Oreochromis niloticus: one gene and its partner. The protein of the gene in region 1 binds, or shares a complex with, the protein of each later gene. Links are inferred from orthologs where the notes say so. Each region holds a gene or a part of one and is shown in the gene's direction. Other genes may lie near its edges.

The links.
Region 2: the proteins of sin3b (region 1) and PHD finger protein 12 are in contact, whole or in part, in a cryo-EM structure (PDB 8BPA), measured with the Homo sapiens proteins. The link is inferred for Oreochromis niloticus from reciprocal best matches to the Homo sapiens genes SIN3B and PHF12. Residues at the interface, in NP_056075.1 of Homo sapiens: Glu307, Phe311, Leu318, Glu322, Val323, Tyr324, Glu325, Asn326, Leu328, Arg329, Cys330, Ile331, Leu333, Phe334, Asn335, Glu343, Leu347, Pro350, Phe351, Lys354, Phe365, Lys395, Arg396, Glu490, Glu493, Leu494, Val497, Tyr545, Arg546, Ile547; in NP_001028733.1 of Homo sapiens: Leu20, Met21, Gln23, Ile24, Gln25, Leu27, Leu28, Pro30, Pro31, Lys32, Thr33, Asn264, Leu266, Val267, Leu269, Val271, Val273, Phe275, Thr276, Asn278, Arg279, Ser280, Arg282, Cys292, Pro293, Leu294, Pro316, Asn317, His318, Ile319.

The regions. Positions count from the first base shown.
Region 1 is NC_031986.2:44,240,853-44,257,413, reverse strand, and holds the start of sin3b (paired amphipathic helix protein Sin3b), read left to right. Parts: upstream 1-10,212; 5' UTR 10,213-10,500; coding exon 10,501-10,611; intron 10,612-10,846; exon of another isoform or gene 10,847-11,162; coding exon of another isoform or gene 11,163-11,168; intron 11,169-11,749; coding exon 11,750-11,856; intron 11,857-12,482; coding exon 12,483-12,636; intron 12,637-13,675; coding exon 13,676-14,038; intron 14,039-14,179; coding exon 14,180-14,335; intron 14,336-14,664; coding exon 14,665-14,793; intron 14,794-15,505; coding exon 15,506-15,595; intron 15,596-15,761; coding exon 15,762-15,880; intron 15,881-16,151; coding exon 16,152-16,365; intron 16,366-16,561. Other genes in the region: fizzy-related protein homolog, read left to right, coding at 1-97, 189-281, 368-409; haus5 (HAUS augmin-like complex subunit 5), read left to right, coding at 2,317-2,414, 2,497-2,559, 2,757-2,789, 2,916-2,940, 3,066-3,189, 3,690-3,849, 3,941-4,034, 4,356-4,447 and 11 more.
Region 2 is NC_031979.2:4,233,991-4,250,640, reverse strand, and holds the start of PHD finger protein 12, read left to right. Parts: upstream 1-9,217; 5' UTR 9,218-9,884; coding exon 9,885-9,950; intron 9,951-10,203; coding exon 10,204-10,385; intron 10,386-12,729; coding exon 12,730-12,802; intron 12,803-15,091; coding exon 15,092-15,548; intron 15,549-15,669; coding exon 15,670-15,790; intron 15,791-15,879; coding exon 15,880-16,012; intron 16,013-16,126; coding exon 16,127-16,291; intron 16,292-16,580; coding exon 16,581-16,650.

The DNA.
Region 1 (16,561 bases):
CCACGGATACTCTCAGAATCAAATCTTGGTGTGGAAATATCCAGCTCTCACTCAGGTGGCCAAGCTTACAGGACACTCCTACCGAGTGCTCTACCTGGTCAGTCTGGTTTGTTTGTTTTTTTCTCCATTGATAATATAAATAAGAACATTATTAAGATAAAATTCTAATGACTTGTTGTACTCTTTAGGCCATGTCTCCAGACGGTGAGGCGATTGTGACGGGAGCTGGAGACGAGACGTTACGCTTCTGGAACGTTTTCAATAAAACGCGCTCGACAAAGGTGAGAACGCATTAACAACAACCCCCCCCGCCCATTTTAATACCTGCTGAAAACATTAACCAAGTTTCTTCATTTTTTTGTTTCAGGAATCTGTATCAGTTTTAAATCTCTTTAAGAAGATACGGTGACTTCAAGCACCTTTTTAAAAAGAAATAAAATCCTGCCATCATCGGCGGATAGCTCATCCGCCTGGTGCTAAAGACATACAGTACAATCAGAGGCTTATTGTGAGTGTTCTTTTCACAAAGGGAATGACGGCAACACCTAGCTTTATTTTTTTAAATTGTGTGAAAAATTCTTTTGCACCTGCTGTGAATGTATTATTTTTATTATATGCTTAAAAAATGTAAAAGTGGGTGTTTTTTGTTTTATTTAAACTTTTGTCAGTATACAAAACTAGAAATCACAAGCCTTAAGAATATTGATATCATCTGAAATGTGTTTTGTTTACCTCATCTTTAATTTATTTAACATACTTATTATACAACAGACATTCAGAGACTTATTTTTACACCATTTCTCATAGGATGGAAGTTTGGAGTGATTTAATGACATGTTATACTATGAGTAAATTAAAAAAAAACAAACAAACAAAAAAAACCAAGCACCATGATTATTGTGACCTTTGGACTGTGGTTGAGAGGAGGTGACTGAATACAAAAAAGTCTAATGCTGTGCATTTAGACGTCTGCTGAATTGCTGATTATTTGCAGTAAAACAAATAAAAGAGCCACTTTCTGACTTTGTGTATATTTATTTATTTCACAACTTGTACAGCATGGATGGAAAACCCGCTAATGCATTCAGAATTGTTATAATTTCTTTGCGGCATAAATTGAACAAGCTACTGGAAACATTCCTCAGAGATTCTGGTAAACTTGTTGCAGTGTTTAAGAAAAAACAGTTTTAGATCATTCGAGTTTTGTGATGTGGCACGTTATCCTCCCCAGAAGCAACCATCAGAAGATGAGTACACTGTGGTCATAAGGGAATATGGTCAGCAGCAGAACTCAGGTAGGCTGTCGCATTTAAGTGATGCTCAGCTGATACTTCTGGATCCGGTGTGCCGAGATGATATTCCTCACACCATCACACCATCATCAACCAGCCTGAACCACTCGCGCAGGGCAGGGTGATGCCATGCTTTCATGTTGTTTGCATCAAACTGGCTTTACCGTGTGAATGTGAAAGCAAAAATTAAGCCTGATCAGACCGGACAAAGTTTTACCAAGCTTTTGTTGTTCACGTTTGATGAGCCAGTATGAATTAAAGCCTCAATTTCTTGTTCCTGGCTGATGGGCACATAGTATGGTCTTCTGCTGCTGTAGCTCATCTGCATTCAAAGGTGCTCTTCTGCATCCCTTGGGTGAAACGAGTTGTATTCCCTTGACCTCTAACATCAACACGGCAAATTCAAAGTCACTTAAATCGCCTTTCATCTCCATTCTGATGCTTGGTTTGAACTTCAGCAGGTTGTCATGAGCATGTATATATGCCAAATATCCCTGATTAGATGCCATGTGATTAGCACATTAGATTCTTGGGTTAAACAGTGCAATAAATAACATGACAAACAACATCTTTTAAATCATCTCCACATTTAAAAATAAAAAAATGAATATTGGCTTCTGGATCATTACATGATTTTCATCATGTGAGATATTTGTGTAAAATCAAAGCTAAGGCACAGTCTGTGCTGATGACAGCAAATGGCTGTAGTTGTGATTGCTCTCCAAGCCAGCAGGTGGCGGTACTTCTCCTTTTCCTCTTCCTCTGTGGTCGTTAATCGGAAATGCTGTTGACAGGCGGGAACTTGAAAGTTTGAGTAGGTTTAGGTTAAAAAATATTCCCGTGTGAGCACCGTAACCTGTTTTTATTGAATTAAAGAGGCATCTTTCGTGGGAGCACGGTAAGTTGGAGGGACATCTGTGAATTACGTGCACTCATTAAGCTAACTACGCTGGCTGATGATAATAGTCTCCTGTTGTTGTTTCTCGCTTTAGCTGTAGCTCGTTACCAGCTGTTATTTGTCAGGATGGCAGACAGAAATCTTGTTCAGGACTTGAAACGCTGGGCGACAGAGGAGTTTGGGCTGTCCCCGGACAGACTGCCTAATGACAGCTATTTTAAAACGTAGGTATCTACACTTATGTTACCTGTCATCAATGTTATTACCTAACTTTTTAGCCTTGAACTAATGTTGATTGTTTTCCAGACTCTGTGTTGGGACGGGGAAGTCGATATGGAAATATGTCATCCAGCATGTTTTCCAGCAAAGGTGAGACTTTGTTCTCGCTTGCTTTTTGTTTTTGTTTTTAAACCTTTTGATCACTAAATTATAACTAGAACACGGCTCATTTCCTGTCCTCAAACATTTACTCAGGACTCTGGTTCATTACAAAAGAAAAAACATTTGCATGAATGGCCTGTTTTCTAAAATAAACTGCAATCTCTGACTGATTTCTGTCTTTTTAGGAATGTGAGGATCATGCGTGGCAATCTTCAGTGGTATCCTTTTTGGTCTTGACTTGATCTGCAAAGCTTCCAGCTTCTTTCCAACAGACTTTCTTTGTTTTGTTTTCTTTGCCTTTCTTTGTTATTTATTTGCTCTGTTATCCTTGACATTGTTATTAGGTATAAATCGCTTCAAGACAAAGAGGTAGGCTGCAACTTATTTCTTTTCCCCAGCAGTTGTAATTTAGTTTAATTGTTAGTGATTGCACTTCACAAAGGGGAGTTTCTGTAAAAGCTATGTTTGTGTTTACTGGTGTGCGGTCTTGTCAGGCTGAGGGCCAGAGTGAGGCTGCAAAGCGTAAAGATCTCCAGAAGAAGATAGAGCAGCTGAAAGAAGAGATTAGTCACCTGGACTCTCAGATGAGCGTTACAGAGGAGCAGATGGCCACACAAGGTTAGTCCAACATATGTACTGTGGGCTGGACTTCCAGCCATCCCTCCATAATTTTCCTCCAGTCAGGGTTGTGAGGGGACTGGAGCCTATCCTGCTGAGTGACACGCAGTGCACATTAGACACTAACACAAAGACCGTGCATGTCTTTGGACTTGGCAGGACTCATTTGGGAATAACTGTGTTAACACAGTTTTGTTTTAAAACACCTATGAATTTGATGTGTTGTCACTACTTTGATTAGAGGCAAACATGTCTGATGTTGTGTATATGGTTTCTTTAAAAATGTACTGAGTTGCACCTTGTGATTGTTTTCTTATATAAAGATAAAATAATTAAAGTTAAAATGAGAGAAGTTCTGAAAAAATATCTTTTTCACACATTTCACATGGTGACAAGTTCAGCTCAAATATATTAGTTATACCACAAAGGGCTGAAAAGGTTTTTGTCTACTATTTTGCCATTTGCGTTTAATAGCTGCATTTTCTGCTGTGATTACACAGACAACTCTATCAGTCGAACCTGGGCCCAGGTGGAAGACGGCCAACGCAGAGAGCTGCTGCTTCAGGCTTTCAGGCAGCGCTGCATCTCAAGCCGCAAATATCTTTCTGATGATGTGCAACAGATCAGTGTGCACTGCCAGGCTCTGGAACAGATGGCCAGGTAAGGCAGAACATTTACTAATACATTTTAAGTGAAAAAGAGACGCAATACCTTTTACACATTTTTCTTTTTGTGTGTGTGTTTATTGCAGAAAAGCAGAAATTGAAGTGCTGTTTGATAAATCTTCTTGCAACAGAGACAATGACAACCTCAATGTCAAAGTGGCAACAGAGGCACAAGTTCTGGTAAAACATGCCCGAATCTGTGTTTTACTTAAGTTTAAAATTTAGAATGTTTATCAGACAGAAATAGCAAATACAGCCGCTTTGGAGGCTCTGTGTATAGCCGCTCTGTGTGTTTTCTATCCATCAGACAGACATTCAGACTTGGGGCCAATTTATAGTTACCAGTTAACCCAACATTACTTCACCTAACCTTACCTAATGTATGCTGGGAGAAATTTTAACATTCGCACAAATCTGGAATTAGTTGCTTACCGAGGCAACTGTAGCATATCAGCTGCTGACTTCATGAAATCATTCATTACCTTTGTTTTCTTTCTTTAGCGTGATGTGAGAGAGCTGTGTGACGACAGGGTCCACTTCTATCAGTCTTTACAAGAGTGTGAATCGAAAACACAGCACTCTGCAGCCACACAGTAAGGACCACAGACTGTACTCGATTTAAGTTATTCAGCTTTTAAAATGTATTTATTTTTGTGTTTGTTTGTTTTCCCTGTAGTATGACCCGTGAGCAGAGGACTGCTGTATTCCAGTACTGGCTGAGTGCTGTTGAGGTTGGTGTGTTTGTGTCTGATTTTACAAAATATTTTTGTATTTGTGTTAACATTGTCTTTAATTTTGACTTTGCATTAATATGCTGTTGCTTGTTGTGTCACCAGAACATGTTGGGTGCTTACCCTCCAAACCATGTTCTATCAGCGCTGCTGTATTTGGCTTCAAGAGAGCAGAAGGTATTGGAGGAGAAACTGTCGTCTCTGGACGTGACACGGGATGTAACAGCTCTGCAGTAAGGCAGTGATTGGGATCTTTCATTTCACGTCATGCTTCAAGATTTCCGATTTTCAGTGTAATGCATTTTTAAAATTTATTTGTTTTTTGGCATGCAGGTTCCGCTATGAAAGCGACCACCTTCTGGATATGTCAGCAGAAGAGGAAAATGAGTTACCACCAGTTAAAACCCTCTTAGAGGTGCGGTCACATTGCAGTATACCAACAGAAACGCAGATGAAACCATGTTCACACCCCCTGTTAACAGTTTACATATCAGGACATAATAAAAATAATCTGGTCCCTACCTGGTCTTAAAATGAGGTAAATACAAACGGAGACGAACAAGAGCACATGGCATATTAAACCATATCATTGTTGATTTAACAAAAACGAATCCAAAATGCAGAAACACTGTCAAAGGTTAAACACACCATATGATTCAATAGCTTGTAGAACTAAGCTTGTAGATACCAAGGGTATCATGAATAATCTTTCTCACTGTAGGATAATTGACTTTAAATTGTTTGGGAAGGGACTTATAAACCCTCATGGGTAGCAACAGTGGTGGCACATATTTGAACCGCAAAGTGCCAAAAGTTCTGCTTCTATAGTGGTGCTCACATTTGCTGATGATCAGTTAATGAAATATGCAGAAGCAGTAAGGGTGGACTTATTTTTCACACATTATGTCCTGATACATAAAATCGTGATCAAACCATGATCATCTCTTTCTTTTTCCTGGAATCTGCGATTGGTAACTTTTTATGCATGGACCCGCATGTGATTGTTGCTGCAGGCTGCGTGGGAAGAAGTGGAGCAGAGCTTGGTGGAACTGGCCCAGACTCGCTCCAGAGTCCAGCAGCTCAAAAACCAGCTGCAAACCCGTAAGAAGGACGCTGAGCTCGAGGTGTCCAGTATTAGAGATGAGCTCCAGGATGATTCCTTGGCACTGTAAGTTCATTCCAATTCAATCTCTGCCTTTGCCATGCATTTTGTTATTTTTTTTTTTGCAGTACTGCAACTTGGGAGTTGGGTTTCTGTGAGGGGGGAAAAAAAGGTCCAACAAACAGCCACTGTTATTGTTGTTTTTATCTGAACGATACAATTTTTCTGTTGTCAACTCAGTTTTAAACTTTGTATTTGCATCCTGTTTGAAAACAGCTATGTGAGTTCATTTTAATTAGTGGTAATATCTTTAGAGGCAATAATTTTGTCTTGTCTTCTACTTGTGCTTTTTATTTTCCTTGCGCTCTGAACTCTTAGATCAGCTCTTGAGGTGGAACTACAGTGTGTGATGCAGGCAGCTGCCAGGGATTATATCAGAGACCGCTGCATCCAACTTGACCAACATGCCCAAAGTCGACAGGAGGCGCTAAGAAGCCTTCGCAGCCAGTGGCAGAGCATACTGGACTTCAGACAACTAGTGGTGAGAGTTGACAGACAGTATTTTTGGATGAAATATTTTCTACATGTATTATATACTGTAGATCTTTGGTCTAGATGTCTTATGTTTGCTAGGTGTGAGAAGACTGACTTTTCGTCAGCATTTGTTACATCATAAAAATAATCATGTTCTGCTTTCTTGTCTTTACAGCTTCTCAGACAAGAGCAGATCAGAGGTCTGATTAAGGGGAACTCGACAGCAAAGACGCAGCTGATTCATCTTCACAGAGAGGTCAGGATCAATGACAGTGAAATATGTTTGATGAGAGGCTTCAGTCTGGGGTGAAAAACGAGAGTGACTAAAATTTAATTCTTATGTTTTTTTGTAGCACTCTGAGGATTTTAATCTTTGCGTTTTGTCTCAGTTAGAGGAATTCATCCAGGCAAAACTAATGCCACAATTTGAAGATGTGACCGCTGCAGCCAACAGTCTAAGGAACGCTGTGTCTAAGGAGGCCAGACAGATGGGAGCAGTTTCACTTCTTTCACTGGACCGCAGAACTATCGAAGGGTATGAGCATGTTGCTTGGTATCCCTATATTTGCCTCATTGGTGGTACATCTGTGGCCCCAGCTGCAGTGAATCAAAACAAAAACATATTTAATTGTTGTCCTTGTCCAGGGGTGACATTCACTGACCAGAAATATAATTCCATTTTGTTTTGTTTAGTATGCAACGAATTCCTGCATCATGGTTGTCCATCCATCGCTTGCAGTCCCCGACCTTCAGCAGCTTGTGTCAGAGTCTGGCATTCCCTCTGTACAAGGTGATTTTTGGCATATAGTGTGTAAAGTGTTGCAGTTTTACTGTTTTCTCTTTGATTCTGCTCACTCTCACAGTCATGTTTTGCTACGGTTGCAATCTGTTTATAATGATATGGTGATTAATTAGCGAAAATTGCAAATCTGTGTCCCTCCCTTACCATCTAAATACCACAGAAATTCATTTAATTACTTGCATTAAGAGCCCAGCCAGAACCTCATAGGTTTAAAACAAATTCTTTCACAAATGGGGACGTAGTTACTGCAGGTCAGCAGTTTATTGCAAATCGACAGGCAGTTAGAGTCTTCTCTTACAAATGAACGCTCTGCAGACGAGCTCTTCTCTTCAGCTGACTCCGAATGATTGCATCATTCAGGCAGACTGTCTGTGTTTGTAAATTAGACTGATTATTTGCAGACAACCTTTGCAGTCGCCTTGTGATTGAAGGTGGTCGCCAGAGTTTGAGAGTGTTGCATGCTCAAACTCAGGGCGTCCAGCTGGAGTCGGTTGCTTAACGCTAAAAAAAATTAAATGCAGTCACCGGGCAACCACTTCATTCTTCCTTCCTTCCTTTGCTGAAAGGAGGTTACTATGATGATCTTACTTTAGTGTGACTGAGTCATTTGCTTCAGTAAAAGTAGATGTCAGTCAGTGGAGCATTGTTCTGAACTGGTGACATCATGATTTTTGTGTTGTATTATTTTAAAATATTCAACTTGTAATTTCAGTCACTAAAACAGTTTATTCAGTCATGCTGCCTGGGTAATGGCCTCCAAAGAAATCTTCTAAAGGGACTTTGTGACCGTCTCACTATCCTAACATCACTTGTGTTTTCCTGTGGCTCTTTCTCAAATGATTTTCTACAAAATCAGTGTTTGCAGCCAACTCTTAAATGTGCCCTAAGTGATTGTAACGGACTGTCATTGATCGATGCTGAACCCCTCACAACCAGAGATGACAAAAATTGCATCTTTGAAAGCCAGTTTCACTGAGCAGAAGGAAAATAGAGTTACATATACCAAAGCTGCTGGGAGGTGTCCTTTTTCACTTTTTTATTTTTCCTCATATATTGCATACTAGTAACTTTTTTGACTTTCTCTGACTTTCACACCCAACTTCAGGCTCCGGAGGAGTTGTGTTCCCGATCTCGCTCACAACAGCTTGAGCTGCGTTTTCTCCGTCAGTTACTTCAGCTTCACTCTGCCACTCTGCAGAAGATAAAGAAGGAAGCGGATCAGCTGGAGGCATCTGATCAAAAAGGTAACCAGGAGAACTTATCAAGAGAGAAGCGTTTGCTTTAAACACAAATGAGGGCAGTGTTTGGTGTACACGTACTTAATATGTTAGGAAATTTCCACAAAAAATAAAATGCTCGGTGGATTTTTAGTAACATACTGCTGTCTGTCTGCACTCTTAGCTCTCCTGTCCAGAGTCATGGAGGAGGACCAAAAGCTTCTCAAGTCTTTGGTACCAAGAGTCAGAGGGCTCACTCACCGCTGTGCACAGGGCCTTTCTTATGGGGACCAAGTCAAAACTGCCATCTCTTATTGGTGAGACACAGTTCTTAAATCGATGACCTGTTATTATTATTATTTTAATTGCTGCTTAATCGAGATTTCTCCTTTCTAATCTGGGTGTATTTTTACAAATTGAGATCTGGGAATTACCTAGAGTGACACAGTTACCTGAACAACATCTGCAAGTGAATGGATGAGTTATCACTAAAAAAGCATGTTTTAAACACTCATTAGAACTACTTCCTGGTTTAACCTTTAGACAATACTAAGATTATTCGTGCACACTTTTGTATGTGTTTTTTCTTTCCAAATGTAAGTGATTTAGGCAGTTTTAATGATCTTTCATTGATTGTCTGACGAGGCTTTTGTTGCTGGAGTCCATTATGAAGAGATAAATGTACTTGCCATTTTTAACTGGTTACCATAATGTGATGGATAAATTACACCTGGTCAGTGATTCTGATTATTACTGACTGACTGACATCTCATTATTCCAGAGTGAATATACAGTCTTGGACTAAAACCTTTTTTTACTGGTGATCTTCTAGATTTTAGATTTTTTTGTAGAAAATGTAGAAGCTTAATCCAGGTACAGAAACTGGCTGATAGTGGTTTAATTCATCTAATTATAGTTTTGCAGCTCAATCTATTTAAAAAAAAAGAAAAGAAAAAAGACCAGCTTTCTTAATTCATTGGTAGTAAACTAAGTCTTAAACCTTACTGTTAACTTGCCTATCTACACACAGGTGATTACACCATTTGTAAATGACTTCATGGCTTGAATTTAACCCTGCCAAAACATTCATGCCAGTACATCTATCTGAGGCCAATATCTAACTGAATTTATTGGCTCTAATTATTTTCCATTCATGCCCTTGCTCAGTAGTCCAGCGTCTCATTCTCTGGTTAACTTCCCTGTTTTGTGTGTTGTAGGTGGGAAAGGCCAGCCCAGCATGTTCTTCCTGAGGTCAGTAAAGGAGGACTGACTTTTCAGCAGTGGTTACAAAGGTGGAAACTAGCAGCAAAGTCCCCATAGTTGAATACTATGATGGATTCCTTTCAGCACCTTTCAGTGGTAGAATGAACACTGTGTTGTAGATATTTAATGCACAAATGGTGTTTGTTTGTTTTTTCTCTCATTTGTCATCATTACTCCTAATGTCTTACCATGTGTAAATCAGTCACTAATAAACCCTTTTGAAGCGAAATATTTGTTCCTTTCTTCTTTGCGTCCTCATATCCATTGAAGTTGTTTAAAACTGCCTCTGGCTCCTGCGTTGGAAAACCAAGCTGAATCCATTGTGAATGCCCTCTGAATGAGCCGTAGGTGTCTATCAATAGCCCTGTATCGATCTTTCTCACAGTCGGCATTCGGTCCACCGTCGAGCTCGTATTCGTGGGCACCGTTGTGGAGTGTGCAACCATCCTTTGCATGGAGTAGCGCTGCTCCTTTGTAGCAGTGAAGGGGGAGTGGAGCAATCTGATTCTTGTGAACTCAGCTCCTCCCATCGCTGCGACTGCGCAGTTCAATTTTTCACTTTTTTTAATTTTTTTAATTTTTTTTTTCACTCCTACTCTGGCTTCCGGACGCCAAGACAGAGCGCTGCCGCCGAATTTAAAGAGACAGGCTTTAGTTTTTTTTAAATACGAAAAACGGTAACCATTGTCTCTGGGCTTATTTTCCGATACTTCTCGCCTGGGCTCGTTTAATTCGATGGTGATGTTTCATCAAAGTCACCGAGAGTAGCAGGTTGTCTGTCATCAACCTTCATTCTGCTGGATTTCCCGTCCTTTTTTTTTTTTTTTTTTTTTTGCCTCTGTACCTAGACTGTCCAGCTAGGCAGAGTAGGGTTGCTTGCTGGCAGGCTGGCTTCCCGACCGAGAGCAAGGTTTGTCGGCTAGCCAACAACTGGAGGTAACGCCGAAGCTTCCCTCAAGTTGTGGTAGCGGCTCTCGAGCCTCCTGTCGCCGGGATAATGGCGAAGATTCAGGCGCACAGCACCGCGAAGCAAATAAACCAAATTCAAGACAAGCCTTACGTTATAACACAAAAGCAAGTGCAGCAGCAGCACTTCCAGAAGCTGAAGGTAAGGAGACAACGGACATGACAAGGGAAAAGTGGCTGAGAGTCAGAACCATTTTGTTCGTCGGATCATTGCATTGGATTTGAGGCTTTTTTTTTCTCTTTCTCTCTACTGTCGTCGAGAGTAGTGAAAGGAACGGCTGGCTAACGTTAGTTAGCTCGCTGGCCTATTAAAAGTAATTCATTGCTAAACAGCCTAACGTTGACATTTAATGTTGGATTTAGAAGCTGTGTTTCGTTTAGTGTATGTGCGAGTGACAGTGGAGTGGCACAGTTAGTGGTACTTTCTCATTTGCCATATCAATAAGTGCTTCTGTGAGCAAACGTTAACTCAGACCTCGTTTGTGGGAAGTTCCTCCTTGTTCGTTTTTTCAGCCACCCCGAACAAAGTGGAGGACGTCAGCCAGGCTAGCCAAGAACGGCTATTTCACTTCATTAGCAGCTTCAGTACACGTTTCTTTGTTATAGTAGTGTTTTAATATGTCGTACTGTTTTTGCCAACGCGACACTGTTGGCCGGGGACCAGCTGTGACTAAACATATTGTATAAATTTGTATGCGGGTAGGTGTTGCAAGTGTTGGTGGAGTTATTATCGTCAGTCGACTGGCTAAACGTTAGCTACAACAACCCTCTTTAAGATGTGGACTATTTGTGACAATGGCTTGTGTGAAGACATTTTTTCCCCCTTTAGCGCAACCTAAACTAGCCTAGCTGTGGTAGCGAAAGAAAGCAGTGGAGTAATGAACAAAAGCTGCCTGGTGTCTCTTGTGTATGCCCAGTTATTTATTTATTTTAGCGTTAGTTGTACAGCTTGTACTGCTAACCAGAGGATTTGTTGATGTTGCACTTTGGCTGATAGTGAAGAAATCGGTCAGCATTCACGTAACTTCACGTATGCAGCACTGAGACAAATCTGTACGATGGGGCTACCTGTAATTTCATAGTACAAATCGCAAATAAATGCATTTATTAATAAATGCAAAACGTAGCATTTGAAATCTGTAAACAAGCTTTGTAGCTGTAAAATTATCTACCGTGAGCACCATGACTGGATGCTGGGGAAAATGCTGCTCCATACATCCAGCTGAGGCTGTCTGTGCTTTGCTCTGTACTGATTTTTCCTTCTTCTTCTCCATGTTTAGGTTGAAGATGCCTTGTCATATCTGGACCAAGTCAAAATTCGTTTTGCGAATGACCCTGGGATATATAACAAGTTTCTCGACATCATGAAGGAGTTCAAGTCGCAGAGGTATCATTGGGCATTTATGCAAACAAACCACAAGTAACTACTATACAGGGGCACACAGGGAACACAGGGAACACACTGATTTCTGTTGTGCAGTTTTTAAGGGAGGTGGTCCAGATCCACTTTAAAATACAGTGGGATCTTCATTTCCCCATACGCCACCAAGTGTTATGAAATTCAGCTTAATGGTTTTTGTATAATCTTGTGACCAACTGGCAGCTGTACCTCTGCTAAGGTGAAAACCAGAAGTAATAGGAGTTCTAGTAATGCATTCTTAATGACATACATTCCCATACATATTCTTTAGATGGTGATTGTGCTGCTTGTGTATGGAGTTTCATTACGTTGTGCAGTTTAATCCTTGACTAGTTCTGTTTCACAATCTGGAGTTTATCAGTGCATATGATACTGCACATAGCTTCTTACTATAATTATGCGACAGGTATTATTATCTTGAAATTAAACGAGGACTAAAAGCATTTCCTCTTTGCTTCTTTTTCTTTAAAGCTAACTTGTATAGCGCTTATTAATAACTTGTTTTCTGTTTGTGCTTTGTGGTGTTTGAGAGAAGTACTTAATCAGTGTTTCTCAACCAAACTTCTAAAGTATCCGTATGTCTTCTGAAATAGCATCGACACACCGGGAGTGATAAACCGTGTATCACAACTGTTTCATGGACACCCAGACCTCGTCTTGGGCTTCAATGCCTTCTTGCCACCGGGGTATCGGATAGAGGTCCCTAAGAATGGGATGGCTTTCCTTCAGTCTCCTTTCTCTGCACAGGTAAGATACTCTTTTTAAAGAAAAACATGCTTTCTGCTTTACTGATATCTGAATACAATGTACAGCAGGGTATGCTGACGGCATTATATGTTTAAGACCACAGAACATCTTAGGAGGAAACAGGTGTGCTTCTACTGCCCTGAACTTCAGCTGAATGATCTGCCTGAAAAAGCCCTCACGAAGGTTTCACTACAAAATGTGACAGCAGATTTGTCTGTCTGGTAGTTGAACAAAATTTCAGCTGGAGTTCTGCTTCTTCCTGTGCATGTTTGGCTGAAACAAGCACTTAAATCCCATCACAAAGAGCCAAATATATACAAGTTGTATATAAAAAGAATTTCAGAGATTAGGAATCTATGTTAGACTTTAAAAGAATTTTACGGTCTGATACAAAAATAACTACACTGAGGAATTTGTAATGATTTCACTCGGTGGCATTCAAAACCTATTTGGTCCGTGTCAGATTGAGTTAAACTTTTATATGTTTAAGCTCTTTCAGTTTCTGTGTACAATTTTATTATTTTAAAGTAAAAGCTGGGAACTAACTTCCAGTGATGTTTTGTTCTGAGAGATGGATCGTGCTTAGGTAGTGGATGGCAAGATAATGGGATTTGGGCAATCTTAGGTGTAATGTTAGTGTGACTTGGGATTTGCATCAGAACTACTTTCCTTTAATACTGAATTTAGATTACAAACACATTTATATAAACATCCAGTGACAGTCTGCATGATGCATGCTTTTCTTTTCTAAAACCTATGCAAGTTTAGGTAAGCTTTTTCTGTTAAATAATTTTTTTATATTTAGTGTTTTATGTTTACTGTGTACCTTTTGTCTACAATTACAATTGTTATTGTGTTATATAGAGTTTATACACTGCTAAGGGAGGGATTTAAAACAAACCCACAGAGCCAACGTATGTTTGAATGTTTAATATAAAGCACATTAAAGCTGGTGCTCCTGCACCAGCATATACAAACAGATATTTCTCCCCAAGTAGTAAATAAACGGTCTTTTTCTTAATGCATCTCTCGTGTGCAGGTATCCCCAAGCCCACAGGGGAAGAGTCCCGTCGCTCCTGCTGTTGCTGCGACCTCGGGTAGTGCCTCTTCCTCTCACTCTGAAGTGGGACCTGCCCAGACCAGTGAAGTCAAGGTGGCCACAACAGAGCCCCTGTCTTCGTCAGCAGCAGGACCTCCAGAGCCTCCCAGCAGACTTTCTCTTCCCCTGACCAGCAGAGAGAGCCAAAATCCAGCAGCCACCTCATCTGTGTCCCCGCCTGCCTCAGAGACGAGCCCCGTAGAATTTGATAGCGCCATCAGCTATGTCAACAAGATTAAAAACCGTTTCCTGGACCATCCAGAGATCTATAGAGCCTTCCTAGAAATTCTTCACACATATCAGGTACTGTAGAAGTAAGGCCATTAATACTGCATATTCATAGCATAAAAGGTGTAGGATTTTTATTTGCAGTTTCTGAGTTTTGTTTTTATTTTGTGTGTGTGTGTGTCCTATATCTATCTCTCCACCCCAACAACATTTCAGAAGGAACAGCTGGAGGTGAAGGAGAGTCGAGGCAGTCGAGGCAGCAGTGGGATGACAGAAGATGAGGTGTTTTCTAAAGTTGCCAGTCTCTTCAAGGGACAAGAAGACCTGCTGGCTGAGTTTGGACAATTCTTGCCCGATGCCAAGAGATCACTGGTGAGTTGAGCAGCAGTAGATGGATATTTCTGATGTTCCACTTTGGAAGCAGATGAAAATCTGCACAGTTTGAACAGAAACAATTTGCAGTTGGGCATGAAAGCAACATTTCTCATTTCCAGTTATTTTAACACAGTTTACAACAGTGACATTTTGTATATTTACTGCTCTGAAACGCCATCATGATAATATTCGCATATTCACAGTGAAGTGCCGCTTTTGAACAGCTGAATATATAACTTGTCAAAAACGTTTTTCTGTCAGTCGGTTCCCAAAGTCCCAAGAAGTACAACTGAGCTTTTTTTGTCCATGTGCCTCCTCTTCTGTAGTTCACAGGCAGTTCGCTCACCGGGGGGAAAGAGCAGCTGAAAAGGACAGAAGAAGAGGACATGATAACCAAACAGAACAAAAAGAGACCGAGGCCCATACTTCTCCAGCATATGTCCCCACTGCTCAAGGTAGGTTCTTCGCTCTTCAGCGGGTCAGTGAAAGAGACAAAAGCTGTGCATTATGAGCAAAAACAATAGGTCTGTTATATGCTAATTTTTTATGATTGTTTCTGCAACTTCATCATCTTGTGAAATAAGGTGTAAAATTTTGACGTATTCACGATTAATTAAAGAGAGAGAGAGAGATGGAGCTTTGAAAGAAACCATTCTTGTTACAGACACTACAGAACATCTGTTACCATTGTGGACTTTATATTTTATTTTATACTTTTTATTTATTTTTATTTTATTTTACTTTGGTAAATTTTCATATACAGATAAATAAGTATGTGTTAAGTAACACAGTAACAGTTTAATTGAAAACAACTTACTGAGTATCAGGTTTTTAAATCTGCAACATTATTGAGTCATTTCAATAAGTTAATGTGTTGCATGTAAGCAACATGATGTATGCCATTTACTGGACACTATGGACACTACAGCCTGCAACATACTGGACAAAATGTGTCTCAGAAACCTGTAACATAATTACCGAGTATTTGCATTCCTTTACTTCATTTCATCAGCACCAACTCATTTGCTAGAAAATAATTTTGTGTTGCACAAACAAACTTGTTTCTTTAAAAGTTTCAACAGCTGTTTGGGATTTTCCAAAAGCAGTCACAGACACTTTGATAATTAAAGTTTGTGATGTTCAGATTTTATTCTTTTCTTTATTTAGAAAAAAATGAAGTATTCCTGTACCAAAGATCAGTCCTTTGCTTCGGTTGGCAAACATGGAGTCTTAAGAGAATTTTCCTTCTTTGATAAGGTGAGGGATTATTCTTCTGGCCTGTAATTCTGGATTTTATTTATTTAATTTTTTATACTAAATTTTTAATCCCATAATGTTTCCTCTTTTTTTTTTTTTTTTTTTAAACAGAAACTTTTTTTAAAGTGATTGAGCGAATTTTATTGTCAACCCAACTGTCGTTTAGGTTCGTCGCCTGTTTAAAAGCCAGGAAGTATATGAGAACTTCCTGCGCTGCATCGCCTTGTTTAACCAAGAAGTTGTTTCAGGAGCTGAGCTGCTACAGCTTGTTACTCCTTTCTTGGGGTGAGTGGATGGAAAGAATTTTGAGATGGATAAAAAGAGACAAACTAATGTGGAAATGGTTTGTGATGCTAATATCCAGCGTTAGTGCAGCAAAGGGCAACAAATATTAAGACATTGTTTGTTTTTTTTGTTTTCAGATAGGACATTCAGGTCAACTTTACAAATTTGAAAGTTATCTCTAAATGGTCGTCACATGGCTTTTTATACTAGCCGAGAATACCAGATGTACTTCAATTATCTGTCATTAATAATTTTGTCCATATCCTTGCAGGAAGTTTCCTGAACTGTACACACAGTTCAAGTCATTTCTCGGGGACAAAGAGCTCTCTCATGCTGTGTCAGGGCTGTCGGATCGTTACATGGAGGGAGGAGGGGGCAGGGAGGTGGATTATGCCTCCTGCAAGCGCCTGGGGTCCAGCTATAGAGCACTGCCCAAGACCTACCAGCAGCCTAAATGCAGTGGGCGCACGGCCTTATGCAAGGAGGTATATCTACTTAGATTTTACCAAACAAAAATCACTGCATCATTTCATTGCTTAAAGTCATCTGTGTGCATTTTAGCCCCTTTCATCTGTTCCTTTATATTTGACAGCATCTTAACATGTTGGCTTGATGTCTGAATTTAAATGTTTATTTTCTTTCAACATAGCACAAGTTTGAACTGCATGCATAGAAACTGAT
Region 2 (16,650 bases), on another chromosome or scaffold:
CACACAGAATCCTATTCCTTCATGTATTCTAGCCTTAAACTTACTTAATTATAAGATATTCATCTGGATACACCAAATACACTGTAGTGCTAAAAGCATTCATTCAACTGCCTTCACATGCAACCCCTTCCTAATCCATAGGGTTTAATATGATGTCGCCCCACCCTCTGCAGTTATAACAGCTTCAGCTCTTCTGGCTTTCCACGATGTCTGGGTGTGTGTTATGCACATTTTTGTTCATTCTTCCAAATGGGCATTTGTGAGGTTAGCTGCTGAGCTTTGGAATCCTATTCCATGAAATTCTCTACACACTGTTCTGAAACTAATTTGTAGGCCACGTGAAGTTTGAAAGCTATAGTGATTGACTCTGCAGAAAGTTGGAGACCTCTGTGTGTTATGTGCCTCAGGATCTGCTGAACCCGCTCTGTGATTTTACTTGGCCTACCACTTCATGACTGAATTGCTGTGGTTCCCAATTGCTTACACTTTGTTATAACACTTCTAACATTGAGTATGGAATATTTAGAAAAAAGGAAATTTCATAATTGATGCACAGTACCACACTGGAATTAACTGAGGTCCTGAGAGCAACCACAAATGTTTGTAGAAATAGTCTACATGCCTAGATGCTTGAATTTATACAAATGTGGGCATGGAAGTGATTGGAGCGCTTGCATTCAATGACTTGGAAAAGTGAGTAAATGCTTTTGGCAATATAATGTAAGTGAAGCCAGGACATTAGGAGCCAGATTTACTAAACAAGGCAAAGTAGCATATGAATGCAATCCTGGATAGCATTCATAGGTATGGTTAGTTTTACAGATGATTTTCTAAACGCAGATGCAGTCAATTTATTTAAATATCAAGCACAGAAAATAAGACATGCTTTCTTTCTATGTTAAATAAAATTACAAAAAGTAAGGTGCAGCTGCAAGAAGGCTGTTTTCAAGGATAGTTTTCAGGTCAGTGACCTACAGTGGCTCAAAAGGAGAGCACTGAAGGGCACCAAGGATAAGGTCCAGGTCCCAGAGGAGAACTGGGGATCCTGGCCTGAGAATACGTTACTGGACACCCCTCAGGAACCAAGATATTAAAAAGGAGTAAGCCTCACTAAGTGCTGAATAACCAAAGCAAATGGTCTTTGATCACTGACACCATGTATGGTGTCCACTTTAACCTCTGTGGGTCCAACTTGTGGACCACACACCAGGAGATAAACACTCCCCAGTGAGAGGAGTAACAGCCCTAATGGACAGTGCACAGCACTACTGCATTCTTCGCATGGCTGAGGCAGGCAGAGGAGTTTCTCCTTCTCAGGGGCCAGGCCCATCGACATAATGTCTGCTGCCATGTTCAGTGGCCTTGGCACATGAATAGCTCTCAGTGAGTGGAACAGGGGGTGAGCCTACTGCCACAGCCTGGCAGCTATCCTGCAAAGGAGGGGTAAGTCTAGGCAACCCTGTCTGTTGACATAGGTTGCCACAACAGGGCTGTCTGCCCTGACGCTGACATGAACCCCCTGTAGTCGAGAAACTACTCGAGTGCCAGGACGACAGCTTGCAGTTCTTGATACCACAGCCCTCGCGTATTGCACCCAAACCTACTGGAGAGGCGTGTGGAGAATAACTGACGGTGAGTCACCAGACCCACCACCTAGCCCTGCTCCAGGTTGGAGGAGTCCCTCCATCAACGGAGACCTTGGTTGAGTCCTCGAGAGACCACTACTGTTGGCTGATTGGACCACTGCGGGCACAGACCCAGGCTTAGCAGGCGTTGCTGGACTGGTCTCATGTGCAGGAAAGCCAATGGGACCACCTGCACCATGGTATCCATAAGGCCCATGAGGCAGAAGTATAGGCCCCAGCTGACCCACTAGTGAAGTCTGAAGTGCTCTAGGCATCCCCTGAAGGTCTAGCGTCGCTCTGCAGTGAGGGACACAGAGGCCCTATGTCCAGACATAGGGCCTGGGAAGGCTGTAGCTTGCTCTTCTTGAGATTCAGGCGCAAGCCCAGAGCCTGAACATGTACATGAGCTAAGCTACATGACTGCAGGACTGTTGTTCTGATGTGGTGCAGACCAGCCAGTCGTGTAAGTAGTTAAAGACCCTGTGGCCCTGTATCCTCATAGAGGCAAGGACAGCATCCATGCATCACGTGAAGGTCCAGAGTGCAAGAGAGATGCCGAAGGGGAAAACTCAAACACCCAGTAAGTGACCTTCAGGTCAATGGTAGCAAACCAGTCCCCAACATTGATGGCCTGCTTCACCTTGGGGACCATCAGCATTTTGTATATCAGGGGACAAAGATAGCAGTTGAGGCCCCTGAGATCCAACATCGGGGAAACACCCCTCCCCGCTTGGGAACCAAAAAAGAGCGGGAAGGGAACCCAGCTTGGCAGTCCCCAGCATCCACCTCTGTATCCCATCTTTCTCCAGGAGGGCCGAGAGTTCTTCCTGCATTATCTGGGCCTGCTGGGAGTTGCTCACTAACGTAAAGGTCAGAATGGTTGTGATGGAGGGGGTGTCTGTGGAAGAACTGCAGGTGGTAGCCCTGGATCAACGACCAACCAACAAGGCAGACAGGGAAGGGGGCTGGCCGGTCTGCCCTCCGGAAAGGTCAAGATGGAGGGGGATGGCTGGAGGACAGTCGAGCCTTGGCTGCACGTCCTGTCTGTTTCCCCTACATGTTGGTGCTATGTCTACGCAAAGCTGCCAGCTGAGGCCTGGTATCCCCAGGGCCCCATGCTGCATCAGGAGCAGGCTGGGGCGCAGCAACCCTGGGCATCCATGCACTTGCAGAGCGCCTGAGCAGGCCCCTTGACAACTCCTGAGCAACACAGCAACTGTCTCGAGCGTGTGAGCCATGTTCTGTGTGCAGAACATGGCTGCGGGGTCAACAGGCAGCCTCTTTAGACATTCCTGGTTGTCCCACTGGAGCTGTGACTGAAACAGTCAGAGATGCTGCCGCACCACCCAGATGAGGCCAAGGCACTACTTGTGGTGATGACCTGCTCTTTCATGCATGCTAGAGGACTTTCTGCAGGCGATGGACCACCTGTACAAAGCAGCCGGGGCATCAAACTGCCTGCACACCAGGTCCTTAAAATCAGGCAGCAGTAGCACCTGCAGCTGAGAGCACCGTGGCTGTGTGATGTCTTCAAACCTGGAGGCCACTGCCACAGGGTTCTCAGGGAAGGCAATATCCAGAGCCCTGGATGCCCTGCCCATCATCTCAAAAATTTGGCAATATGAAACAGTCTATGCAAGATTGTGGAGCTTCCCTGGCCAGCATAGCATGTTGGTAGCCCAAACACAGCATACATCTACCATTTCCGTGCTACAGAGACATAGAGATGCCGTGTCCCACACATTTATCACCCATATGAACTGCCATACTCACATGGGATGGATGCAGCCGTAACCCGCAAACCAGAAGACAGTACACACAAACACATACTCTGGTTTCCCCTGTCTCAACGGGTAAGCCCCCAGCTGGAGCTCAAATAATTGCCGGTTTCATGTCTGCACAGTTCTTTTATGCCTAATGTGGCAGTAGTATGCAGACAGGTCCTGGAGTATGAAGGAATTAATGCCACTGACTGGTCCCTGCGTCGGCCTGACTTAAATTCAGTAGAACTCTGGGATGTTATGTTTTGGTCCATCTGACACCACAAGGTTGCACTTCACATTTGTATACAAACTACCAAGTACCACTTTGAGTTGCAACAGAGAAATTTCAGCAAATTATTCTGGCAAATCATTTTTTTCAGCCCTCTATAGGTCTTTTTTTCATCCTTTCAGTCCTAACATATTACCCAGTCCATAGTATAGATCATCAGCACAATTACCCAGTTAGTGTAGGTTTTTGTTTGCTGTGCTGCTGGAAGAGGCCACTAGTGTGCCACAAAACTTACAAAAAAACAGGCTGTACTAAAGCCTGACTATTCTTGCAATGATTGTAGCCTTGCTGCTTAATGGTCATTCATCACAGTTACATTATTTCATCCCGCAGTCCGAAAACATGCATGTTATACTAGTTATCCATCCCTTATTTATTCCATAATTCGGTCCAACATCTTTGTACTCTGCACCAGAAAGAAAGAAATATAAATAAATAATAAATAAATAAATACATTATTATTGTCATGTTGTCTGTCATGTTGTCATGTTGATATCTTGTTGTCAGTATTGTCTGTCAATAGCAAAGAAATAGTCAGAACCCATTTTTTTTTATGTGTACACATACTTGGTCAATAAAGCTGATTCTGATGTAAATGGTTGTCTTCCTCTGTTAGCCCTGAGACACACTGGTGACTTGTCCAGGATTATACCCTACAACAGTGGGCAGATGGATGGGTTGATGGGTGGATCTGATTATTTATGTGCATGTAAACACCCACACTGGCTGACACACAGAGCATAGTTGGTGCAATGGAGCAGGAGATTACTTTATCAGTCTAGTTCCGAGGCTTTGCTCAGTGTGCATATCTCTGATTACTTTAGCAATTTAGGACATTTAGGTATCTTGCACATGGACCTTTCCACAGCTGGAGAAACAACCTAGCAAATTATCCTTTTGTAGGAGGAATTAAGAATAGAGAGGCATTTACCAGTTCTAGCAGCAAAAAATAATAAGTGTCACACCAATCCCCAAAAGCCTGGATGAGCCTGACCAAGAGTCCGAATTCTTGGTATTATCAGCTGACTGAAACTTGGACCATAGATAAAATATAAAACATGCATGTAGCCATAACTCATGTTTACTAAGCTCAAACAACTAGGGAGCCCAGGGCTGTTTTCCCATAGAAAATCTGGAGTCTTTTTCCAGCCACAGGGGTTGCTCTCTCCTGGCCTTTTAAAAAAAAAGAGAAAGCAGATTTCAGGTATTTCCACTTTGGCTTCTCTTTTCAAACCTGGAAAAGTAAAGTATCTTCTCCAAGTATAAAAAATATGTTTTGATTTTCATTTAAATATATTACATTCCTTAAGGAATCACAACCCTATATATAGGGGCGATTGTGGCTCAAGAGTTGGGAGTTCGCCTTGTAATTGGAAGGTTGCCGGTTCGAGCCCCGGCTCGGACAGTCTCGGTCGTTGTGTCCTTGGGCAAGACACTTCACCCGTTGCCTACTGGTGGTGGTCAGAGGGCCCGGTGGCGCGAGTGTCCGGCAGCCTCGCCTCTGTCAGTGCGCCCCAGGGTGGTTGTGGCTACAACGTAGCTTGCCATCACCAGTGTGTGAATGTGTGGGTGAATGACTGGATATGTAAAGCGCTTTGGGGTCCTTAGGGACCATAAAAGCGCTATATAAATACAGGCCATTTACCATATAGAGAGAGGAAAATATATGTGTGCAATTTTTTTTAAACCCTTAGAAATTCTCTTACTCTAATACTGTTAAAATACAATACTCTCAAAAATATCTTAAAATAAACACAGTAATTTAGTGATTTAGCACAACAGGATACATTTATCACAATATAATACTTCATAATTACAACCTTACAAGTCTCCTTCATCAGAAAAATGACTTAAAGTCAGCAACTAAATATTTTTTAAGGGCTTTTACAAATGTGATCAAAATATGTAGATTTTAAAAAAGACTCAGCTTTAAAAAATATTAACTGAAAATTCATTTTGTAAAAAAGATTTTTCATTTTCAACATTCTTGTACTACATATTAATGTACATATTAACATATGCACTAAAATGTTCAATAAACTGTAACCTGGTGAGTGGTCATGCTGGACATGTGTATAACATGTGATGGCTAGTAACATTACTGGAACACGGGACTACATTTCTAAAATGCAATGTCATATATCTCTGTGCACAAAATCACATTAGCTAACTACCAGTATTTTGCCAGCTACTCAAATACAACTGAGCAGTGCCTCCCTCTGCTGGCGAGGGTTAGCAATTACCCATCATTCATGGTAATTCTGTCCACTATACATTAAAATTGCAAACATTTCCCCTCTCCAAGGCAACCATTTTTAGGTTTTAGAATCAGCCCCATTAAAAAAACAGCCAATATGGGTAATGAACCACACAACTGAAGAAAACAAAAAAGGAAATCAAGAATTAGAAAAAAAACAGGTATCAAAAGTACAAGTTTAGGATAAAGGACTAATTAGAACTTTGTCTCAATTAGCACATCCATTGTTGCTACAAATCCCAAGAGACAAGACAGTGTGCAGGTCTGTTACAGTGCTAACACAAAGAGATGGGCAACACAACCAGTCGCACTAACATTTACACCTATCAATCTACCTATTTTACATATACCCATATTTATATACACACACACACGGTGCTAGGTTAAGTGATTCTAAATTGCTCAGACACTTCTCCACAAGGTACGTTGACTCAAGTATTTTACAATTTTGAGCTACTTTTTCTGCAACAATCTCTCCACATGTTTCAGAGGTAAATATTGCCATTGTATTCTGCTCCATTTCTTTTCTCACAGCTTTATTTATTTCCTACAGTGCACTTAATGAACAAGTGCTGTTTTACTGGTTATGAACATACAATTTTTCCAATTTTCTTAAGATATATATATATAAAAAAAGCCCTTCTTAGATTTGCTAGAAAATGTCAAAGAGTTGAAGGCAAAAGTATGAGCTTACTGAACTTTTTAAATATATATGATTCTTAGAGCAGAATAATGCTACATTACCATATAGAATATGATGCATAGCTCTAGAGTAAACAATCTAAGTTAAATATAATGCAACATGCACATTAATTTTGCAGTAATATCAATTTAAATACATTAGATATGAAAAGAAACATTTTTCTGCACAATGAGTACTAACATGCAATTTTCTGATAACTGCCCAGTGTCACCGGGTATTGGCAAGATATGCACAACATAGAGTGCCACCTTCATCATTCCTGTTCAACTTGTGCATCTCAGGCTTTCGGTACAACTCTGGGTCAAAGAACTACTCTGACAGTTCTACGGTGATTGGATGTATATGTGATGGACAGGAGCAGGAGGATGATTTTGTGGAGTCGTCTGGAAGAAATCATCTCTGAGTAAGACCAGAGATCATCAACTACAGAAGGAAGAAAACAACTACAGCCTGTGCCTATCCAGGATTTTAATGTGGTGGAGAAGTACAAGTACCTGGGTGCCCACACTGACAACACGGTGAAGTAGAAGACCAACAATTAGCTAGCCAGTTTTAATGTTCTTCTTTTGTTGTTGCTTTTGTTTTGAAAGGAAAATTCTAAAGAAGCCAATTGAGGTGGTTTGGGCATCTGACTAGGATGCCTCCTGGACACTTCCTATAGGTGAGGTATTCTGGGCAGTGGACTCAGTGGAGAGATCACACATCTCTGCAGGCCTGGAATGTCTCAGTATTCCCCGGATGAGGGGAGACACCCCGGATGGAAGAAGTGGTTGTTGTGAGGAAAATCTGGGCTTCTCTGCTTAGACTGCTGCTCTTGCAACATGAACCTGAATAAACAGCAGAAAATTAATGAATGAATGGACATTTTTACTAATTAAAGTTATACTTATTTTACTTTATTGTGCCTAATTTTATTTTCGACTAGTTATTATTGCTGTTAATTGTTAAGATTTTATTAAGCTGGACACCACTCTACTTATTTAAGTTATTTAGGTTTGTTTGATTTAAGTCAAACATCAACTACTGTAACACAAGAATTTCCCAGTTCTGGGATAAATGATCTAAATCTATCTTTACCTTAATATCTAAATACTTCTATTTTACTGAGACTTAAATGCAGGACCTTTACTTGCTGTGGATGTGGTGATCATGCGCCTACTTTAAGTGGGCCTGCACAGCATTTTTATTCCTTGTCTACCAGTCCCATGTATTGATGCAATGCCCCACATTTTAATGTGCTCTAGTTTGCAATAGAGAACACCAAGATGAAAAAGTGTGGCTCAAAACTGATGTGCTATAAGTGCTCTGCAAGAGCAGAAAAGTGCTGCATAGCAATCAGTCCATTTACCAAGAATCAGTCCATGTGCTGACCTATGGATTAATTGCTATTAAAACTGAAACAGACAGTTTGGCTGCTAAAGTATATTTAAACAGTTTTAATACTTAATACTTTAATACTTAATATGATAGACATGGTTCCACAAAAAAAGAGATCATACCTTCTATTTTAAGTTTGGAAATTTTCATTCACATAAATGGCAGTATATTTGTCCTTCACATAACTGATGCCAAACTGTTAACTAGCATTGTTTTTTGTTTCCAGATTTAGTTTTCATCACCTCTCAGCATTAGTAAGGTGTCACACACACATATTGTTTACCCTACATTTGGTGTTTCGAGATCTGGTCAGACTCTATAGTTGGTGTGATCTGGTTAACAAAAACCCGATAAACCTGCTATAAATACAAATTGTATTTAAGTGAGAAATTACATTATTTATGTGCTAGATGGAAAATACGGGAATTAGGGCTTCATAAATTCTTAAATAAATCTTTGGTTTAAGAGAATATAGAGGTGGATTATTGATTTGTTAATGTTTTGGATGTCTTTGTTTTCTAGTGATCTGTGCATTACTTCAGCGTTTCACTTTGCACAGTCTGGTCCTCTCTTAATTAAAGAATGTGTTTCAGACTTCAGCAGACTAATCCAGTGAGGACTTTGACTGCAAAATAGACAATGCCCTCTGTCAGAAAAGTCTGATTGGTAGAAGGATAACTAAGCGCTTTGATGACAGTGACAGCTGGTGTGATTTGGTGCTATATAATTAAAACTAAATTGATCTGAATTGAACATTTCTGTTAGAATAACTGACTTGCCGTCATCCAGCTGGGATAGGCTCCAGCCACCCCGCGATAAGGATAAGCGGAAGAGAATGGATGGATGGACTTGCTGTCTACATAGACTACATGTTGAAATAGACTACATGTTGAGCAAGCGGAAGAAGAATTAAGATGGTAATTTGAGCAGCTGAAACGCTATTGTAGCAGAAGTGCAAATTGCATGAGTAGTGTTCATAAACAAACAATAAAGCAATTGAAGCAAGGAGCAGTTAATGCTACTCGCGGTAGCAGCACAAGTACGTGTGCACAATAGTAATGAGTAGTGCTATAAGGTAATCTACAGGGAAAGTCATAGCAAAAAAAATAACTTCAAAACGTCAGTTCCAGTCAAAAACACCGTGTAGATAATGTTTTACCGGTTCGTTATAGTGTATCCGAAATTATCTATATCCGTTCCAATACGCATGCGTGTCCGGTGTGCGCGGTTGCGCCAACTGTAAGGATGTTGCTAGCAGCCAGTATAGATGCACAGCCTTTTCACAACAATAACATCAACCAAATTTGCATTTCCACATACTTGATTTGAGGATTATACATTCCGGACGCTGTCGGAAACCAGGTTTTGGGCCGTACTACACCTAGTTTTCTCCTGGATTGTTTGGTTACATTTTGTTTTGACAATGGGAGCGGGGGGCTTTGCAGATTTACAGCGCTCCTTTTTGCAGGAGCAGAAACAAGAATCATGGCTGGCCAGCTAGGCCGCAGATGGATTGTGTAGCTAAGAGCAGTAGTCTACTGTTAGAAAATTCTGTATGTTTTCGTGGCACTTACACATAAAAAGTGGTGCTAAGGAATCAGTATTTTAACTACATAGTTAGACGTCATTTTTGTTACCTTTTTATGGCCAACTACGGCAGCTAGTGAGACCGCTAGCTTCACAACCTTGACTGGTTGACGTTTGCCTAGCTAGCTCCTTTGGGCAGCTAACGATAGCTAACGTCGATTTACCAGACATCCTCTCACCGAAATCATTCGGGAAGTAATTTCTTACAGGATTTATCGTGGTTATTGTGAGCACCGAGGCACTTGGTTCGCAAATTCCTTTTGCAAAGTCTGTTTCTGGATGAATGTGGGACAAAATGGAGACCCCAACGATTGTGTACGATTTGGATACCTCTGGGGGCTTAATGGAGGTAAGGCTGCTATGTCTAAGGCCTTAATTAAGCGAAACATTCCTCTGTTGCTAGCACTTTAATATATTTTACCAAATTTGAATCGCAGCTGTCATCATCACTATAGCCCGCTGTCAAGCGCTTAGCTAGCTAATTCGGCTTGGTAACGGAGGCCACAAATTACTGTTACCGCTCTCTATAAACGTCACAGCGGACACTAGACAAGCAAAGGACAGCCGCGATGTCGCACTAAACAGCTGAACAACTTTTTCAGCAAATTCAAACACTGCTGGCGCCCCCGAAGTCAGAAGAGGTAGAGAAACGGAGTCGGAAACTGGTGAGGGACGTCCGGAGGAGCGGCAGGGCGACTAACCACGACACCTGCGATAGTTGCAGGGAAGGGGGAGACTTGCTGTGTTGTGACCACTGTCCTGCAGCTTTCCATCTCCAGTGCTGGTAAGTTATTTGACTAAAAAACACGTAGAGAATTGATGAAACAAGCGGAAACAACTAAGAGTCCCCGTCAGTTATATGTGTAAGATGGCTGAATGCTAACTCAAGTGATTGTCCTCGGTTACCGTTTCTCGGTGGTTCCGATTCCCGTAGACACATGATTTGAAATGTGTAAAGAAATAATCTGTTAAATGATTTCATTTTGCCTCATAGTTTTTTCGCTACAAAAGCTCACGCTTATATCAATGAAAAGTCAACTTTAACCATCAATTGTTCTTCCGAAATTCCCGCTGTGTTCTCCGTTCACGTTAACCATGGAGGCCGGCTTGAAGCCGCTGTGTTGCCCTCTGTAAGGTTTATTATTAACTCCCATTTTCCCTGGAAACTGCTTGCATGTCGAATTTACTTGCAGACGTTTTCAGAATCTCAGGAAATAAAGCAGTTGAAGTTAATTAAAAGACGTTTGGTGATCTAAGATAGCAACTGATAATTTAAGTAACAGACCAGAATGTTTTCTTGCTCTGGGAGGACTGTGCACCGTTATACCAGTCGTCTATCTTATATACTGACTTTTGGACTTTATAGAGTTTGAAAGTGTATAGCAAACTTATTTTCACGCGTCGCTAATGAAATTATAACATACAGGAGTTAAAATAAATGCTTAAATATGTCGTGTCTGCAAGAGGCTAGAATTAGCTTGCAGTCGGTCCTCCCCTCCTGCCGAGGCTGCAACCAGCGGAGCTGCTGGTAAAAATGTAGCCTCTGTTTACAATATGGCGACCTCGCTGCTCTTTCCCCCCTTCTTCCACCGCCATCTTACAAACCTTTAAAATCAACTCTGATGGAAAAGGGGTGCATTAATAATACGGACGAAATATTCCGCAGTTTTTTTGGACGGGTATAACAGCGTTTGTTGAGGTATTTTCGGTGCCACAGCGATAAATAAATACCCGTCTCATTTTTTCTGTATTACTACTTTTACAGACTGTCACCTGAAAACCGTATAAAACCCGTCTGTACATATATAGCCAAACGTGTGGACGCCTTCAGATTTTGAATATGTATTCATGAATTTTGCTGCTCTAATGTCTATAATGTAAAAGACAGTGTTACATGGCGTGACAGTTCAGTTGTCCCATGCACAGTGCATCTCACATGTGACCACTTCAAACACAAAAGCATCATTAAAAAAACTTTTTTCATTTTTTTAAATCTGTGGAGAAATTTATTATTGTTGTCATTTTACTGGATATGTATTGTATGTCTTAAGTCCAGTTAATTTTAATGTTAAATTCTGCAATTATGAATTCATATACCAGATGCATCAGGGGGAAAAAAGAAGTTTAAAGTTGACTAGAAACTATAGAAACAAACAGCCAATAGAAATGAATAAATTGTTAAAATAGACAAATAATAATGAATCAAAAGAAAAAGTAGTTAAATACGCTTACTACAAGCAAACTAATGGTATGCATCCATCCAGCCATTCTCTTCCACTTATCCTCGTCAGGGTCGCTAGGGGAGCTGAAGCCTATGACAGCTACCATAGGGCGAGAGGCAGAGTACACCCTGGACAGTTGGCCAGTCTGTCGCACGGCGAACACGTAGAGACGAACAACCATTCACACTCAAATTCACACCTATGGGCAATTTAGAATCATCAATTTACCCAACCTTGCTAACTGCATGTCTTTGGACTGTGGGAGGAAGACGGAGTACCCAGAGAGAACCCACGCGAACATGGGGAGAACATGCAAACTCCACACAGAAAGGCCTGGCCAGGTGGTAGAATCAAACTAAGGATCTCCTTGCTGTGAGGCAACGGTGCTAATCACTGCACCACCATGGTTAAAAATGCAAGTTAAAAAGAAAGGAGTAACAAAGCATAATGGATAGATGGTTCAGTTTGGTCACTAAGTGTAATTTTATGAATAACTGTTAAACGAATGGTGGTTGTAAGTAGCAGATGAGTGATGGAAATACCAAGGTAACAGTTAACCAGACATAATTTTAAAAAATGATAAGGTGAAATGAGGTGGATCTGACGAAGTCTTCTTGAATGTGGGCAGTATGTAGTGTAAAACATTGGGAACAATTGATTATTAATGAATGTGTCAGCTACTGTAATGAAAGTATAACATTGAAAACTGCCATTATTTTGCACTGTATGGATGTTTTTATTGTAATGCAGCCATTGGCCCACCAGATGGAGACAGAAGAAACTAGACTTTTGTTTTGATGCCAAAACAATGGGATCAAATCAGTTTTTCATTTGAATGAAATGGGAATTAGAAATTATGATTCATTTTCTGTTATTAAATATTTAATTTCTGTCTTCTTACGACAGCAACCCACCTCTGAGTGAAGAAATGCTTCCTCCAGGGGAATGGATGTGTCATCGCTGCAATGTTCGGAAGAAGGTGAGTGACAGATGTTCTGTTACACATTTGATTCATTCTGCTTTTGAAATGTATCCCGAAGAGTGTGTTCTATGTACTGATAAATTGGACCAATTCAATTTTATTTATACAGCGCCAAATCACAATAATATTTTACCCTACAATAATACATACAGAGAAAAACTCAACAATCATTTGACCCCCTATCAGCAAGCACTTTGGCAACAGTGGGAAGGAAAAACTCCCTTTTAACAGGAAGAAACCTCCAGCACAACAAGGCTGAGGGAGGGGTGGCCATCTGCCGCGACACATAGTGAGTGAGAAAGGTGACTGAAGAAAAAATACTACCCCAGCAGTCTACACCTATTGCAGCATAACTAAGGGAGTATTGAGGGTCAACTGATCCAGCCCTAACTATATGCTTTTACATATGCTGTATGTGAGGAGCAGGATTTTGAATTCAATTCTGGATTTAACAGGGAGCCAATGGAGGGAAGCCAATATAGGAGAAATCTGCTCTCTCTTTCTTGTCCCTGTCAGTACTCTTGCTGCAGTATTTTGGATTAATTGAAGGCTTTTCAGGGAGTTTTTGGACAATCCCGATAATAATGAATTACAATAGTCCAGCCTAGAAGTAATAAATGCATGAAGTAGTTTATCAGCGCCACTCTGAGACAGGATATTTCTTATTTTAGAAATATTACGCAAAGATTAGAATTGGACGAAGTCAGTCCTAGATATTTGTTTAATATGTGCATTGAAGGTCCTGGTCAAAAATGACTCCAGGGTTCCTCACAGTGTTACTGGAGGCCAAGGTAATGCCATCCAGAGTAAGAATCTGCTTAGATACCATATTTCTAAGATTTTCAGAGCCAAGTACAATAACCTCAGTTTGATCTGAATTTAGAAGCAGAAAGTTAGCGGCCATCCAGGTCTTTATGTCTTTAAGACATTCCTGCAGTTTAACTAATTGGTGTGTGTGTTATCTGGCTTTCTGAATAAATAAAGTTGGGTGTCCTCTGCATAGTAGTGCAAATGTATGCTGTGCCTTCTGATGATACTACCTAAGGGAAGCATTTAAAATATAAACAGAATTGGTCCTAGCATATCCATAATTAACCTTAGTGTGTGAAGAGGACTCTCCATTTACACGAACAAATTGGAGTCTATTAGATAGATATGATACAAACTAGGGCTGCCACAAACGATTATTTTGATAGTCGACTAGTCACCGATAATTTTTGCGATTAGTTGACTAATCAGATCATGCATCCACTGCACGTAAAACGTACAGCTTATTGCACCAGCATGCGTCTGCTCTCATATAAACTATCATTATCTTACAGCTTGAAGTGTTTAAGGTATGCGCTAACTAAAAATAAAGACAAGATGATAGTTTATTAAACTTTTAATGAAATTTGCAGATTGTCTCAGTGGAGTTTAATAAACTCAGCCGTCTGCTCCTTGCTATCTAAAGTATAACAGGACATTGGAGTAAATTCTACCATCTCACACTTTTGTTTAATCCGTTTTCTGTTTGATGTTTATTCAGCTGTGTGAAAAAACTTTAATCTCAGGCAAACCGATTTACTCAGGAACAAATCAAACACTGAAAAAAGCCAAACAATAACATTTTAAAGTTATCAAAGTGACTTATATATCGTGTTTAACCTGAGTAGCGAAAGACAGCGGGGATCTGAAAACAATGTGCCAGGACTGCTTCTTCTTCTTCAGGGTTTAACGGCAGCTGGCATCCTTGTACATGCAGTGCTGCCATCTTCTGTTTCAGTCCGTTATTACACTCTTAAATCCTACTACTTATTCCAGCGTCTTTCGGGATCTTACAAAGCTTCAAACGACGCGTCGACTATTAAATTAGTCGTCGACGATCGTCGACGTAATTGTGACTAGCCGACAAATCGTGGCAGCCGTAATACAAACCACTGCAGAAGTAAATACCTACAGCATGCTCTAATCGCTTTAATGAAATATTATGGTCAACAGTATTCAACGTTGCACTGAGGTCTAGCAAGACAAGCACAGAGATGAGTCCACTGTCAGAGGCCATAAGAAGATCATGCGTAACCTTCACTAAAGCTGTTTCTGTGCTGTGATTGGTCTGAAATCTGACTGAAAGTGTTCAAATAAGCCATTCCCCTGCAGATGATCTGTTAGCTTTTTTAAAATTATTTTTTCAACAATTTTGAGATAAAAGGAAGGTTGGAGATTGGCCTCTAACTAGCTAAGACAGCAGGGTCAAGAGATGGTGTTTTAAATCAGTGTTTGGGTTTTGTGTGCGAATATGTACAGAAAAGAGAACAGAAGTCTGAACAGACCAACGGCCTGCCAGAGAAATCCTCCTCCAAGCGGTGCGCTTCTCCGGCCGTGGAGCTGGAGCTCAACGCTGGCCCGCTGCGGCTTGATGGTCTACCTCCAGGGGCTGGAGCTGCAGGCCCTGGTCTACGAGTGGCCCAGGTACGATTGTTGGACCGCAGAACCAGCAGCAGGCCAAGCAGCCGACCTGGGACTCCAAATTCCAACACTTCATCCACCCCAACCCCCTCAGAGGAGCAGAACGATGGAGAGGAGGAGGCAGCAGAGCCTGAGGATGAAGTTCAGGGTGCAGAGCTCGAGAGTTCTACAGTTTCTGCTCCGACACCGCGACTCCTCAAGAGGCCCTTTCAGCTCCTAATAGCGGCTGCTATGGAGAGAAACCCCACTCAATTTCAGCTGCCGAGTGAGCTCACCTGCACCACTGCACTACCAGGTCAGTCAGTCATAATGACTAACAAAATATGATTTCATTCAGCGCCCTAAGTTTAAAATACCTCTTTATATATGCAGTTTGGGCCGTTTCTTAAATGTTGCTCTTTTGTTTGGATTTCTAGGCAGCAGTAAACGGAGGAAAAAAGAAGAGCTGCTTGGAAAGCCATTCAGGAGGCCTCAGCATGAACTGGATCCCAATGGTCTAGTCCCTTTGCCAGTCAAAATCTGCTTTTCATGCAACAGGTCAGGAGTTCTGGAGCACAGTGCAAAGAAGTAGACGAAGCCCCGAAGCGATGACAGCAGGTACTAATTCTATTTATTTGGTCTCTCAGGAGTTGCAGGTTGGCTCCGCTGATCCAGTGCGATTACTGTCCCCTCCTGTTCCACATGGACTGTCTGGACCCTCCACTCACAGCTTTACCTGCCGGCAAATGGATGTGTCCAAACCATGTCGAGCACTTAGTAGTAAGATGCGCTGTGCTGATTCTAAGCTAAAGCTGCTTTCCTTTTCCTTTTATTGACATAAATTTTTATTAATATATTTTTCTGTTTTATCTCAAATGTTTGTTTGCTGTGCAGCTGAATCAGAGGAGCCTCAGCCTGTCCAGCCGCTGTCAGCTCTTCGATCAGTTCCAGGACAGGATGTCCCAGCACGCAGTTAAGTTGGACTTCCTGCGTAGAGTACATCGGCAGAATGCTCCAAACCGGCGCACCACTCACCAGCGCAACAAGAAAACCATCAAGGTAGACCTGTGTCTCAGTGTGACGGTGCAGTGTGTTGGATTTCATATAATCCTTTTTTCTTGGCCACTGGAACACAGGTGGAGATCTAGGAAATTGATGACTTTAATAATATATCTGTTTCACTAAGACAGTAATACCTAGATACTGACAGCCATAAATTTAAGCAGTTGTGCACTTGTATGTGAACTGACCTTTGTGAGTTAGATGCTATTCTTAGAAACATCTGAACATAGTGGCTAATTTGCTAGAAAGTGTTAGATTGTCTCTAACAATCAGTGTTTTTATTCAGGTGCCAGATGCCATCAAGTCCCAGTACCAGAATCCTCCGCCCATGCTGCTTCCTGCAGGGGTGCGCCAGC